Linked DNA regions of Canis lupus familiaris. The protein of the gene in region 1 interacts with the protein of each later gene in a biochemical or structural test. Links are inferred from orthologs where the notes say so. Each region holds a gene or a part of one and is shown on either strand. Other genes may lie near its edges.

Evidence for each region.
Region 2: the proteins of EPS15 (region 1) and NUMB form a complex in vitro, tested with the Homo sapiens proteins (2 studies listed by BioGRID and IntAct, with this or other methods). The link is inferred for Canis lupus familiaris from reciprocal best matches to the Homo sapiens genes EPS15 and NUMB.
Region 3: the proteins of EPS15 (region 1) and TFAP2A form a complex in vitro, tested with the Homo sapiens proteins (2 studies listed by BioGRID). The link is inferred for Canis lupus familiaris from reciprocal best matches to the Homo sapiens genes EPS15 and TFAP2A.

The regions. Positions count from the first base shown.
Region 1 is NC_049236.1:9,793,706-9,797,448, forward strand, and holds the start of EPS15 (epidermal growth factor receptor substrate 15), read left to right. Parts: upstream 1-1,289; 5' UTR 1,290-1,425; coding exon 1,426-1,458; intron 1,459-3,743. UniProt on the Homo sapiens protein: Involved in cell growth regulation. May be involved in the regulation of mitogenic signals and control of cell proliferation. Involved in the internalization of ligand-inducible receptors of the receptor tyrosine kinase (RTK) type, in particular EGFR.
Region 2 is NC_049229.1:47,084,194-47,087,936, forward strand, and holds the start of NUMB (protein numb homolog), read right to left. Parts: upstream 2,188-3,743; 5' UTR 2,074-2,187; intron 1,909-2,073; exon of another isoform or gene 1,764-1,908; intron 1-1,763. UniProt on the Homo sapiens protein: Regulates clathrin-mediated receptor endocytosis. Plays a role in the process of neurogenesis.
Region 3 is NC_049256.1:11,474,223-11,477,965, reverse strand, and holds the start of TFAP2A (transcription factor AP-2-alpha), read left to right. Parts: upstream 1-957; 5' UTR 958-1,170; coding exon 1,171-1,221; exon of another isoform or gene 1,222-1,383; intron 1,384-2,265; exon of another isoform or gene 2,266-2,622; intron 2,623-3,743.

The sequences.
Region 1 (3,743 bases):
ACATTTATTGAGGCCTACTCTGCTGTAGACTAAACTGTGAGTGGGATGTAGTCATGAATCAGTCCCCTGTCCTCAAGGATTTTAGTGTGGTAGGTACAGAGAAGTCCTTAATTAACTCTTAAAAACAGGCGGAATATAAGAAGGACCACATCAGAACAACTAAGAGGTGGGATGGAAGTTCCTAGAAGGCTTCTTAAAGTAGATGGCATATAAGCCAAGTCTTTAAAGATCAGGGTTTCTAGTAACTTGTTGTATATTCTAACTGAAGATGGCAGTATGAGATAGTGTAGGATGCGCTATATTTAACACAAATTGTAACTAACGCCTTTTATTGAGTACCTGCTATATGCTAGGGTCTTGAGGATACAGAAATACATCAGAAGCAGTCCTTGCCATGGAGCAGCTCTCAGTCTCGAGGGGTAGACAGATGTAAAGGGTCCTTTGAGTGACAATGACTTCATAAAGCAGGGAAGAAATTTAAAAAGAAGAGTTGTAACTCTGACTTGGGGAGATCAGGAGATGCTTTGTAAAGGGGAAAATACTTGAGCATGTCTTTAGAAACTGGAAGTTTGCCAGGTGGACTATGGGAGGAATTAGGAGTGCTGCAGGTGCCTGAGCAGATCCCAGCGCTCTCTTATTAAACCATGTAAGTGTGGCAAGCAGCAAGCAGGCAAAGACATTATTTATCGCCCCTCCCACTTGGATTTTGGCTCCTGGAGGGAAGAACCTAGAAGTCTTCTTTTTCAATATCACGTACATGGTTAAATGAAAGGTTTTGGAGGCAGATCTGGATTCTAACCTGGCTTTCTAATCAGCTGTATGACTTTAGGTAAAATAGCTGTTTATGTTTCTATTTCCTCATTTATATAACTTATTTGTGTCTCAGTTCCTCCCACTCATACAACTGGAAAATAGTGTGTAGCACAGAGTCTAGCATATACGAAGTACTGCTACTTCTATCACGATCTCATTTCGTTTTCACAAGCAACCTGGACTTTGCGTAGCATTTCCCCCATTTTTCAGAAGCAGCAGCTTAGAGTACGTAGGCGATCTGCCTAAACTTTCCGGGCAATCTGTCTGCGGTCTCTTCCGCCTACGCAGCCCGTCCGCCTTACTTCTCTGTCCGCGCCGGGTTTTCTTGGGCGGCCCCGGGGGGAGGCTCCTGTCCGGCAGCGCGAAATCCGGCGCCAGGACTTGGGCGCCGCCGCGCTGGCGCCGGGCGGGCGGGCGGGGTGGGGCGGGGCCGGGAGGGGCGGGGCGGGGCGGGGCGGGCGGGCGGGAGGAGGGAAGTTGTCGAAGTTACAGGGGAGACGCCCGCCCGCCCGGCCGCCCGGGCCTCGCCTCTGCCCGCTCCCTCCGCCTCCTCCCGCCCCGAGCCCCAGTCCGCCCGTCCTTCCTTCCCCTCCCGTGCATGATGGAAGCACCATGGCTGCGGCGGCCCAGCTCTCCCTGACACAGGTAACACCGCCCGCCCGGCTCGGCCGCTGTCCCAGGCGGCCCCTCCCCCACCGCGCTGCGGGCGGGCGGCCGGGTAGTTTCTCTGGTGCGGGCGGGGCGGCCGCCGGGGCGGGCGGGGGCGAGCGGCGGCGCGAGGCTGAGTGTGCGTGTACTGCGGGGCCGTCCGAGCCCGCAGCCGCGCCGCCCCGCCACGACCCCGCCCCCGCTCCCGCTCCCGCTCCCCGCGCGGCCCGCGGCGCCCGTGCCCGTGCCGGGTGGGCAGTGGCCCCGCGCGGCTCCGCCTCGGCCGCCGAGAAGTTTCCTCCTTCCAGGCCAGGAGCGCTCCAGGTGGGCTCCCGTGGCGCTGGCGCCGGCCGCCTCGCCCCGCGCGGCGGCCCCCGGGCTCCGCGGCGCTTCCCGAGTTAAAAGTCGCCTTCCCGACGCGGAGCCCAGGGCCGTTCCCCCCCCCCCCCCCCCCCCGACGGGGGCCGCAGTCTGCCGCTTCCGTCGAGCCCCGCGCTCCCCTCGGCACCAGCCTGGGCCCCCTCCGGGTTCGGCCAAGCCTCGACCCGCTCTCCTGGGCTGGACCTCCGCTTCCGTCGTCTTCCGCCCCCTCGGGCCGGGGAGGGCCGTCGCGTAGCCGCCGCCTCATCAACAGGTGTGACGGCTCCGCCCGCCTCGGCCTCGGCGCTGGACGGCCGGAGATGACCTCCTGCGGGGCCATGGTCGGCCCCTTCCTCGCCTCCCCCGTTCCTCAGAGCCTAGGCCCGGTGCTTCCCTCTGGGAGCCTCGTTCCTCCGTCCCCGTAGAGAGGGCGGGCCGCGGTCTTCCCCCGGTGCTCTCCCGCCGAGGTGGCCGGCGCTTGTCCGGCCCCGACCCCAAGCCTCCCGGCCTTCCACTTCTCGGCGGGTCCGCCCTGCCCGGAGCGCCTGCCACAGCCCGCGCGCTGCCCGCTGCCTCCTGCCGCCTTGTAGTCCCCTTGGCCTACATCCGTCGCGCTTCTCGTGGGCCGGTGCCGTCGTCGCGCCGCAGCAGAAGGCTCTGGGGTGTTTGCCCCGGCGCCGTGAACTCGAGAGCCCGAGCGACACCCGCTCTCCGGGGAACCCGCCGCCACCCGCAGACTCGTGCCTCAGGTCCAGTAACTCACTTCAGTTTGCAGGAATTCTGTTTCCTAAGTGACGTCTGGTGGTTTCCCTGTTCTCTTGATGTCGCTCACCCTCTTTTGACAAGCAGGTAGCAGGGAAGAATCCTTGGAATGTGGGGTTGAGGGCTGGTGGCGGACCTCTTTGGAAGGGCCCTCCTGAGATTCAGGTGTGCGCGGTGGCGGCAGTGACTCTTGGGTCGCCCTTTTTAGGAGTCTCATGGCTGTTGGCAGGCCCTTGCTTTCTGGCCGCGCTGGCCGGGTCGGGCAGGAGCTTCCCCCTCTTGAAGTCTTCTGTAGATTTGTTTCTGAGTTGTTTGCGTACTTTATTCTCTCTCCCGGGCTAATGTTTCTGATTTCTGTTTATCATCCTTCATCTCTGGACATTTTCTTTAGGCTCTTGTCAGTTTTATAGATAGTTACATAATTGAAATAGGTTGTTGTGGTTGTGTGTTTAAATATGAACATGTATGTACACAGTAAGTACTGAATCACGAGTATTCTCCTTCAGTGTCTCACATAGAGAACGTACATTGATGGTTCATTTATATTGATAATTCAAATTAAGCCAATTTAGAATATTTTTAAGACATTAGAGGCAATAAGTTCTATATAAAGGGACAGGAAAAAGAACCTTTCTAAACCTTTCTATACCCTAACGTGCCGCCTCGTCATTTTAAAACTTTTTAAACTTGTGTATTTTTTTTTTTATTTTTTTTAACTGCTGGAAACAAATAAACTAAGGTAACAATGCAACTTGGTTTCACATTCATTATTGATCTATTTGTGTCACACTCCACCCCCGACCCCCAAACACACACACTTAGGCATACTCAAGTGAGAAATCCTCCAGGGCAGGGACACATTTTAATTCATCTGTCTTCCTCAGTGCCCATCTGGAAGAAAGTGATTAAACACTGTCTTTTGAATGACTGAAAAATTTAAAGGGCTCTGTGACAGTTAAAAGATTAAACAGATGCTGAAGTGAGTTTCTACCTCTGGTCATGGGATAATGATGAAGTTTTGGAGTAGGTTCTTTCATTCAACAAATATTTGTTAAGTACCTATTATGTGCTAGGCACGATGCTAGGATTGTCTTGTTTATAGTTTTTTTTGCCTTTATCAGTTCAGTAAAACTGACAGTTTGGGGGGAAAATGTGAAAAA
Region 2 (3,743 bases), on another chromosome or scaffold:
ATAGTGATCTAGTACACACACTTATGAGAAACATTTCCCAAACAATGCTTTTCCTTACCAAGTGCAATTCCATTCTATTTCATCCTATTTTCAATGTGGCAGTAACCCAGTAAATTGATTTTATAAATTACGAAAAAATCACGATCCACAATCTGAAAAACATAGGCTTCACAGTGGGTATGGGTATCCCTTATATTCGGATCATTTTTGCAATGTGCCTCTACTTGTCTCTAGCAGGGTAGACAGATATTTTAAGATTGCTACGTTATTATTGTTTTCATTGAAGCAAGTGGTTTTTAAAGTGTGAGCCTCTGACCAACATAAGCATCACCTGAGATAAATACAAATTCTCAGGATCCACCCCAGACTTACTGAATCAGAAACTCTGGATGCCGCCAGCAGTCTGTAGTTTACCAAGCCCTCCAGGTGATTGTGGTGCAAGCTGAAGTTTGAGAACCACGGCATAAAAGAACCCAGGTCTTTATGCTCTCTATTTAACAATGCAGTCAGTAAGCACAGTGCTCACTCTGTGCCAATCGCTATCCTAAAAGTTCTACAAATATTAACACACGTGGAAAAAAAACAACCCTACGAAATAGGGACTATTATTATACCTATTACACAGAGGAGGAAACTTGTACAGAGAGGTTAAATTGTCCAAGCTAAGTGGCGGAACCAGAATTCAAGTTTCTAATTTGGCCAGGGTACGTCCATCCTTTCATGACGTCCATCTTTTTGATCAAGTCCCCTGTCCTGCCTATTCCCTTAGTTTGAGCTACTTATCCCCCCTTTCTCTTTCAAACTCTCCATCCTGTCAATGTCCTCATTTTCTAATATCATTGGTGTCATCCTAAAAAAAAAAAAAAAAAAAATTTTCCCTAAAGCACTGGAATGCAAGAAGTTACTTAACCCAACTTTTGGGAGCTTTTTCTCTCACATCTTAGTTTTATGAAGGCGAGGTGCCTTCTATTTCTGCAGTCCTGAGAACACACTAACGGCCACACTGTTAGTTTCTCGTAGCCGCTGCTCCGGCCGGTCCCCACGAGACCACCACTCTCACCCTGAACAACTTTCTCACTCCCTCCTACTACGCCCTATATCTACTACGCGCTTCCTACGAGGAAACTGCTTCTCCCCGCCCACCCCTGTGTCATTTTGCTTGACTCCTCTCCAACTGAGACAACTTCCACTCCCCGGCAGACCCCTCACCCTAGTCTCCAATCCGACCTACTCCTCGAGGCTCCCCGGTGGCGCGCGGGTCCTCGGACCCAGGAGCTCCCGGTTCCAGTCTCGGGTCGCCCAGCCCAGCCCAGCGGTGGGGGCAGGGCGCTCCGCTCCACTCCAGCTGTCCAAGGTCTCCACAGGTCCCACCCTCCAGAAACCCGGAGCCCTCCACCTCGGACGGCCGCCTCTCTCAGGAGGGTCCCCGGCCCCACCCCCACCCCCACCCCCGGCCTCTCGCCTCTCGTCGACGCCCCCGCTCGCACTCGTCCCTCAGGGTCCTCCCGAACCCCGGCCGCCCTCGGTCTGACTCCCTTCTCCCTCGGACCCGGGCCACTCCCAGTTTCCCGGCCCCCCAGCTCTCTCCGCTCGGGCCGCTCTTGGGTTTCCCGGGTTTCTCTGCTCCCTGGCACCCAAGCTGCCCTGAGTGTGCATTCCCGGGCTCACCCGGTCTTCGGACCAGGTCGTGGCCGGTCACCCCGGGTCGCCCCCCGCCCCTCCCCCCCGGGACCCCGTCCGCTCCCGTCTCCCAAGGGGCTTACCGCTCCCACAGCGGCCGCCGGTCAGTGCCCCAGACCCAAGCAGCGGGACGTCCCGAGGGACCTGCCGGCCAGAACCGCTTGGGTCCGGCCCCAGCCTATCTTGCCAACGCGAACTCCGCCGCCGGGAACCGGGCCATTCTCCCACCAGCCCAGTCAGCGCGAACTCGCCGCCGCCGCCCTGGCCCCGGCCCGACCCGGCCCACAGTGCAGGCCCCCTTCCTCTCGGCCTCCGCCTCGGGAGCGCCGAACTGGAGTTTCCGGCCCGAGACGGCCCCCACCCAGACCTCAGGCCCGCGTTACCGGCACTCACCTGCCGCTGCCCCCCAACCAACTCCAGCGCCACTGCCTCTACCTCGGCCGCCAGTAGCCACCAAGCGCCACCACCTCCCCCATGACAACAGGCCCGCCCCGTTTCATACTTTCTGTCTCTCCATTGGATAGCGGGGCGGCGGCTTTCTGCTCTGATTGGCTCTTTCCAGCTGTCCGTCATAGCTTCCTCACCGCCCCTTTTCCTGAACCCGGTATTAGCCCCCGTCCGGACCCGGAGCGCCCAGTACCAAGGTTTAGTTGTTATTGGCTGATGGCTGGGCAGTTCGAAGTCATGATAGGCTGCCAAAAGTGTCTGTTAAGTCAACTGGCAAGGGATGCGATGGCTTTGGTTGGTTCAAGCTCGGGTACAGTTTGGTTGCGCAGTAGAAAGCAAGGAAGGGGCAGACGCTCACGGCCGAGGTTACCCGGGAAGGGTTAACTCTTTGTTGTAGAGTTCACTCTATGTACCCATCCCTTTCTCCAGTTCCCTCCCTGTAAGGAGAAATTGATCCCTGCTAGTTTATAGGGTAGTACTTAGAAAATACCAGCATCAGAGATTGTATTTAAGGAGTGTTTTCCAACTCCTTGGAGAAAAGCACTTGTACAGATAAAAATCTCTTCTCAAAGTCCCAATTTGCACCCAGTTTCCTTGAAGTTCTTTCCAGAAGTCTCCATGCTAAAGGGCAAAGCACGAACATTTATTTAGCAGGAATCAGACACTTCTGTGGCAATTGTAACGTCGTTAATAAACTGAAGTGGCATGTTGAGCGTTCTCTAGCTTCCAGACTCACCCCTGGCTGGCTCCTGCCAAGTGACCCAAGCAGCCATCAGCAAGTTTGAACTAAACCAGCCGCATTTAGCCTTGTGATGCTCTGGAAATGAGAATTTGGTTACCCCCACCTTCTCCCAACTTGATTTTTATGTTCAGCAGTTCTTAAATAGCCCTACTAGATGTGTGTCAGATACTTGAAAAGCTTGTCTTTTTTTTTTTTTTTTTTCTCCCAACCTCTCCTCTTCCTAGCAATCTAAATTAGGACCATTGAATGAATTGCAGCCCTTTTCTTACATTGGCACAATGCACAAGAATAAATGATTGCATTTTTTATTTATTTGGGTACAAGTCACAGTATGCATTTTTGAGAAATCTGGTGTAGCTATAAAAACTCTTGCGCTCCTAGAAATACATCCATCGTTAGATTTTGGTTTTCTTTTTCATTTCCACCCACTTTTCCTGTTCTTAAACAACAAAACGCTGGCCTGATTTGTCTTTAAATTTCTAAGTCACATTTATTTTTTTTAATGTGTCTGTATTTGGCTTTTATTTTTTTATTTTTTATTTTTATTATTTATTTATTCAGAGAGAGAGAGAGGGGCAGAGACACAGGCAGAGGAAGAAGCAGGCTCCATGCAGGGAGACTGATGTGGGACTTGATACCAGGTCTTCAGGATCATACCCTGGACCAAAGGTGGCACCAAACCACTGAACCACCGGGGCTGCCCCTCTAAGTCAGATTTAAATGTACCTTCCTCACAACTCTACCTATAATATACAAACCCGTGGACCATGAAACATACCCAGGGACGGACTGGGAAAAGTCAAAGAGGTACTCCCTCACAAGCATTACCTTATGGTTGGGAACCTCCTATGGAACTGAGAATCTAAATCTGGAC
Region 3 (3,743 bases), on another chromosome or scaffold:
GATGCATGCATGACACGGAGCACACATGTCGGTTACTTCGGCACAACTCCAGGAGCGGCTGTGAGTCTCCACAGGAGTTCTGTATTTTGTCCACATCGCACCTAGGAAACCCTTAGCCCAAACACCACGTTGAATTATCAGTCAGCCCTGGCTTCATACAAACGAGAGGAAAATCACTTAACCCCTGGAGCTGTCAACTAACCTCTTTAGGGTACAATTTTTATTTTACACGCGGCCAATTAAAGGATCGCAAACCCCAGCCGAGCGACTGGAGCCGTTTGGCAAAATCTTCAACCTGGGAGGGGGGGTGGATTGGGGTGGGGGGGGTGGGAAGAGCAAAGCCAATAAAACTCCCAAGGCGCTGGGGCCCGAGGTGGTGGCTGCAGCGAGCGGAGGCGATCTCTTGTTGGGCAAAAATCCTGGAGTGACTTTGCCGGTCTCGGTTTGATGATTATATTTAATTGCGAAAGGGATAATAATTTCTAATAAAATTGGACGGGGCCGAAAGGACAGCGCGGTTAGCGCGGGCAGGGGTGAGGGAGAGGTGCTGAAAGGCGGGCCCCAGGCGCAGCGGCGCGGACCCTGCACAGCGCCGGGCCCTTGCGGATGGCATCTCCCTGGAGGAGGAGACGGAGGGGGAGAGGACTGGGGTGGAATGGCGCGGCGGCGGGGACCGGGGGTGGCCGGGGCCCGGGCGCACGGCAGGTCTCAGGGGAGATTTCGTCGGCTCGCAGGCGGGCGTGCGCTCTAGGAGCAAGTTCGCGGCTCGGAGAGGCCTTTATACCTGGGTCGGAGCGGCCGGCCGCAGACTGCAGGTGCTGGCGAGCAATTGGACTATTGTTGATATGCTAATGAGGCGATTAGGCTGTTGGTAAAGAGCTGGAAAAGGGAAAAGTTTCTACCATTAGAGGGAGATCTCCGAGCGCACACAGGAGCTCTTTCCCTTCTCGCCTCCTCCTCCTCACCCTCCTCCTCCTCGCCCTCCTCCTCCTCCTCCTCCTCTTTGCCCTCCTCCTCCTCCTCCTCGCCCTCCTCCTCCTCCTCCTCCTCCTCGCCCTCCTCCTCCTCCTCCTGCGCTCACCGCCGGCAGCCCGCACTTTGCGCTTACCCAGAGAGTAGCTCCACTTGGGTGCGAGGCGGAGAAGGGGGCAAATCCGTTCACGCCGATCCATGAAAATGCTTTGGAAACTGACGGATAATATCAAGTACGAGGACTGCGAGGTAAGCGCGGCGCTGGCTCTCCCTGCGGCCGCAGGCTCCGAGCTCTGCTTTCCCGCTCCTCCTCCTCCTCCGCTCGCAGCCAGCTGCGAAATGCGGGTGGGACAAACTTTCCCCAGCGCAGCGCCCGCCTCTCCAATTTGCCCGAAGAACGCAGGGGAGAAGCTGGAGAGGAAGGATGTGGACGCTGTCTTCTTTCATTTCTCTCCTTCGAAGCTCGTGTCCCACTACCCCCCCCCTTTTTTTTTCTGGCCAGTTTGGGGGTCTGCCTAAGAGTGAAGCGAAGACACGAGCATGGGGTTTGGAAGCAGTTGCTGGCAATTGGGCACGCGTCTGTGCACCCTGCGTGTCTCTCCAGCGAGATTGGGGGGGGGGGGCGAATCACCAGGAAGAGAAAGCAAAGAGAAGACCCCCTTTTTTTCCTCCGTAACTTCCGATCTTTACTATTCCTTCATTTATTCATTCTTTGCTTCCTATCGTCCCCCTCCCCTCTTCCTAAAAAGGGAGGCTCTTTTCCGTTTGGAGAAGGGCCCCCCCTCGCACACTTCAGTCTGAGCTGGGTCGCACCTCCCAGTGTTCGGGTTCAGTTTGGAGGCACCCCTCTCCCAAATTGCTGCGGGGCTCGCTCTGTGCTACTGAGGAAGTTCTGAGCAGCGTCTCCCTCTGAGGGACACTCCGAGAGCATCCCCTGGAGCGGAGGTGGGAGGGCTGCACCGCGTGGAGCCGCCTGCCCGCCGGGTCCCCGGGCTTCAGCCCCTGCAGGCGCCCGGCGGTCGGCTGCGTGACCGTGGGAATCCTGGCCGGGCGGCACACGACCTCGGGCGCGCGGATGGAGCGCGCCTCGTTGGAGCCCATTTGCAAACCCGGGGTCTCCGGAGCCCGGCTTCTCGGGGGCACGCCGGGGAAGCCCCAGCACCGCCGGCCCGCCCGCGGGAGGCGCTGGGAGCCGGCCTGGCCGCCGCGGCCCCGGGCTCCCTCGCAGCCCCCGCTGAAATGAGCCGCGGAGTCACGAGAGGGGGAGGGGGCCCGCGGCCGAGGGTTACCTACATAGGTGGTAGTCCCGGCTTTCGCTATTTTTTTTTTCTTTTTCCGTTCTTTTCTTTGAATTTGGCCTTTGGAGCTGGCAATGTGTGGAGCAGAGGTCTGCGCGGGCGCAGCAGCGTGGGTCTTGTCTTCACTTGAAATCAGAACCGGGGTTTGTGCGAACGCTGTGTCCCCGGTTCCCTGCCCCCTCTCCTCTCCGCCGACTATTTTAAATCTTTCTCCTTTCCCGGGCTCTTCCTTTCCGCCCTCCCCTCACCCCAAGGGGCACGGGGTGACACCCCGCGGGGACCGACGCTGCCCTGGGGGCTCCTCCCGCGTGCGCGGTGCGGGGCGCAGGGACCCCAGGGCGCACCAGCCGCTTTGTTTTGAGGCCCGTGGCGGGGGCGAGGGGTGGGGGGTGGGGGGTGGGGTGGGAGGGCTCTGCGAACGGGTCCGAGGGAGCTCCTCCGTCTCGGAGGGCGCACTGTCCCCGCCGGCGCTGTGGCCCGAGGCTCGGGCACGTCACCCTCGCGGAGGCTGGAACCCAGCTGCGGGCGCCGAGCCCTGGGCGGGCGGGGTCCCGACCTCCGCGCGGCTCGGGGCGCCTGGGAGACCTAGGTGGGAGGTGAGGAACTCGAGGGGCCCTGTGGGGGCGCGTGTGAATGTGTGTGTAAGCGAGGCGGAGAGAGGGAACAGAGGGAGGGCTGTTTCAACAACTTTGCGGCGGCGAGCGCCGGAGCAGGGATTTCGGGTTTCCGAGCCGGCTCGGGGCTGTCTAATTACGCCGGGGCTCTGCAGGGACACGCAGGAGGCGAGGTGCCGCGTGTCCTGACAACCCAGCAGGCGGACCGGCAGCGGCGGAGCCCAGCGGCGCAGGGAGAGAGCGAGCCGTGTCACGGGGGTGGGGGGGTGGGGGGGCGTCGGGCAGGAGTGGCCCAGCCAGTCGGACGGGTTTGCGCCGGGAGCCGGGAGCCGGGAGCCGGGAGCCCGTGCCAGCGGCGCCCGGGCTGGGCCGCCGAGCGTCTCCGCGCGCCCCGGGCCGCGTCCCGGCTCCCCCTCCCCGAGCCCCTGCCCCCGAGAGCCCAGGGCGGGGCGGCAGCTGCCGCGGAGCGGACGGCCCGGGCGGTCCGGGGCTGGAGGGGGGCGGGGGGCACCGGGTCATGGAGCAGCGGCGCGGCGGCGGGCCGCCGAACCCCGAGCCCCAGGCCCGGCTGCGCAGCGCAGGAGCCCGCGGCCGCAGCGGGCAGGGCAGCACCGCCCGCGCCGAGAGCCCGATGAATGCCCGGACGCGGGCCCCGGCGGCTCCTGCGCGCGACGCGCGGCCCCCACGGCATCCCGAGGTCTGCCCCAGCCTTTTAGGTCTGATTGTCCTCGCTCGCTTCCTCTGCCCCTCCCCCGCGGCCTCCCCCTGCGTGCGCTCCGGCTCGGCCCCCTCCCCCTCCCTCCCTCCCTCCCTCCCTCTTTCCCTCCCTCCCTTCCTCCTCTCGGGCTCTCCCTCCTTC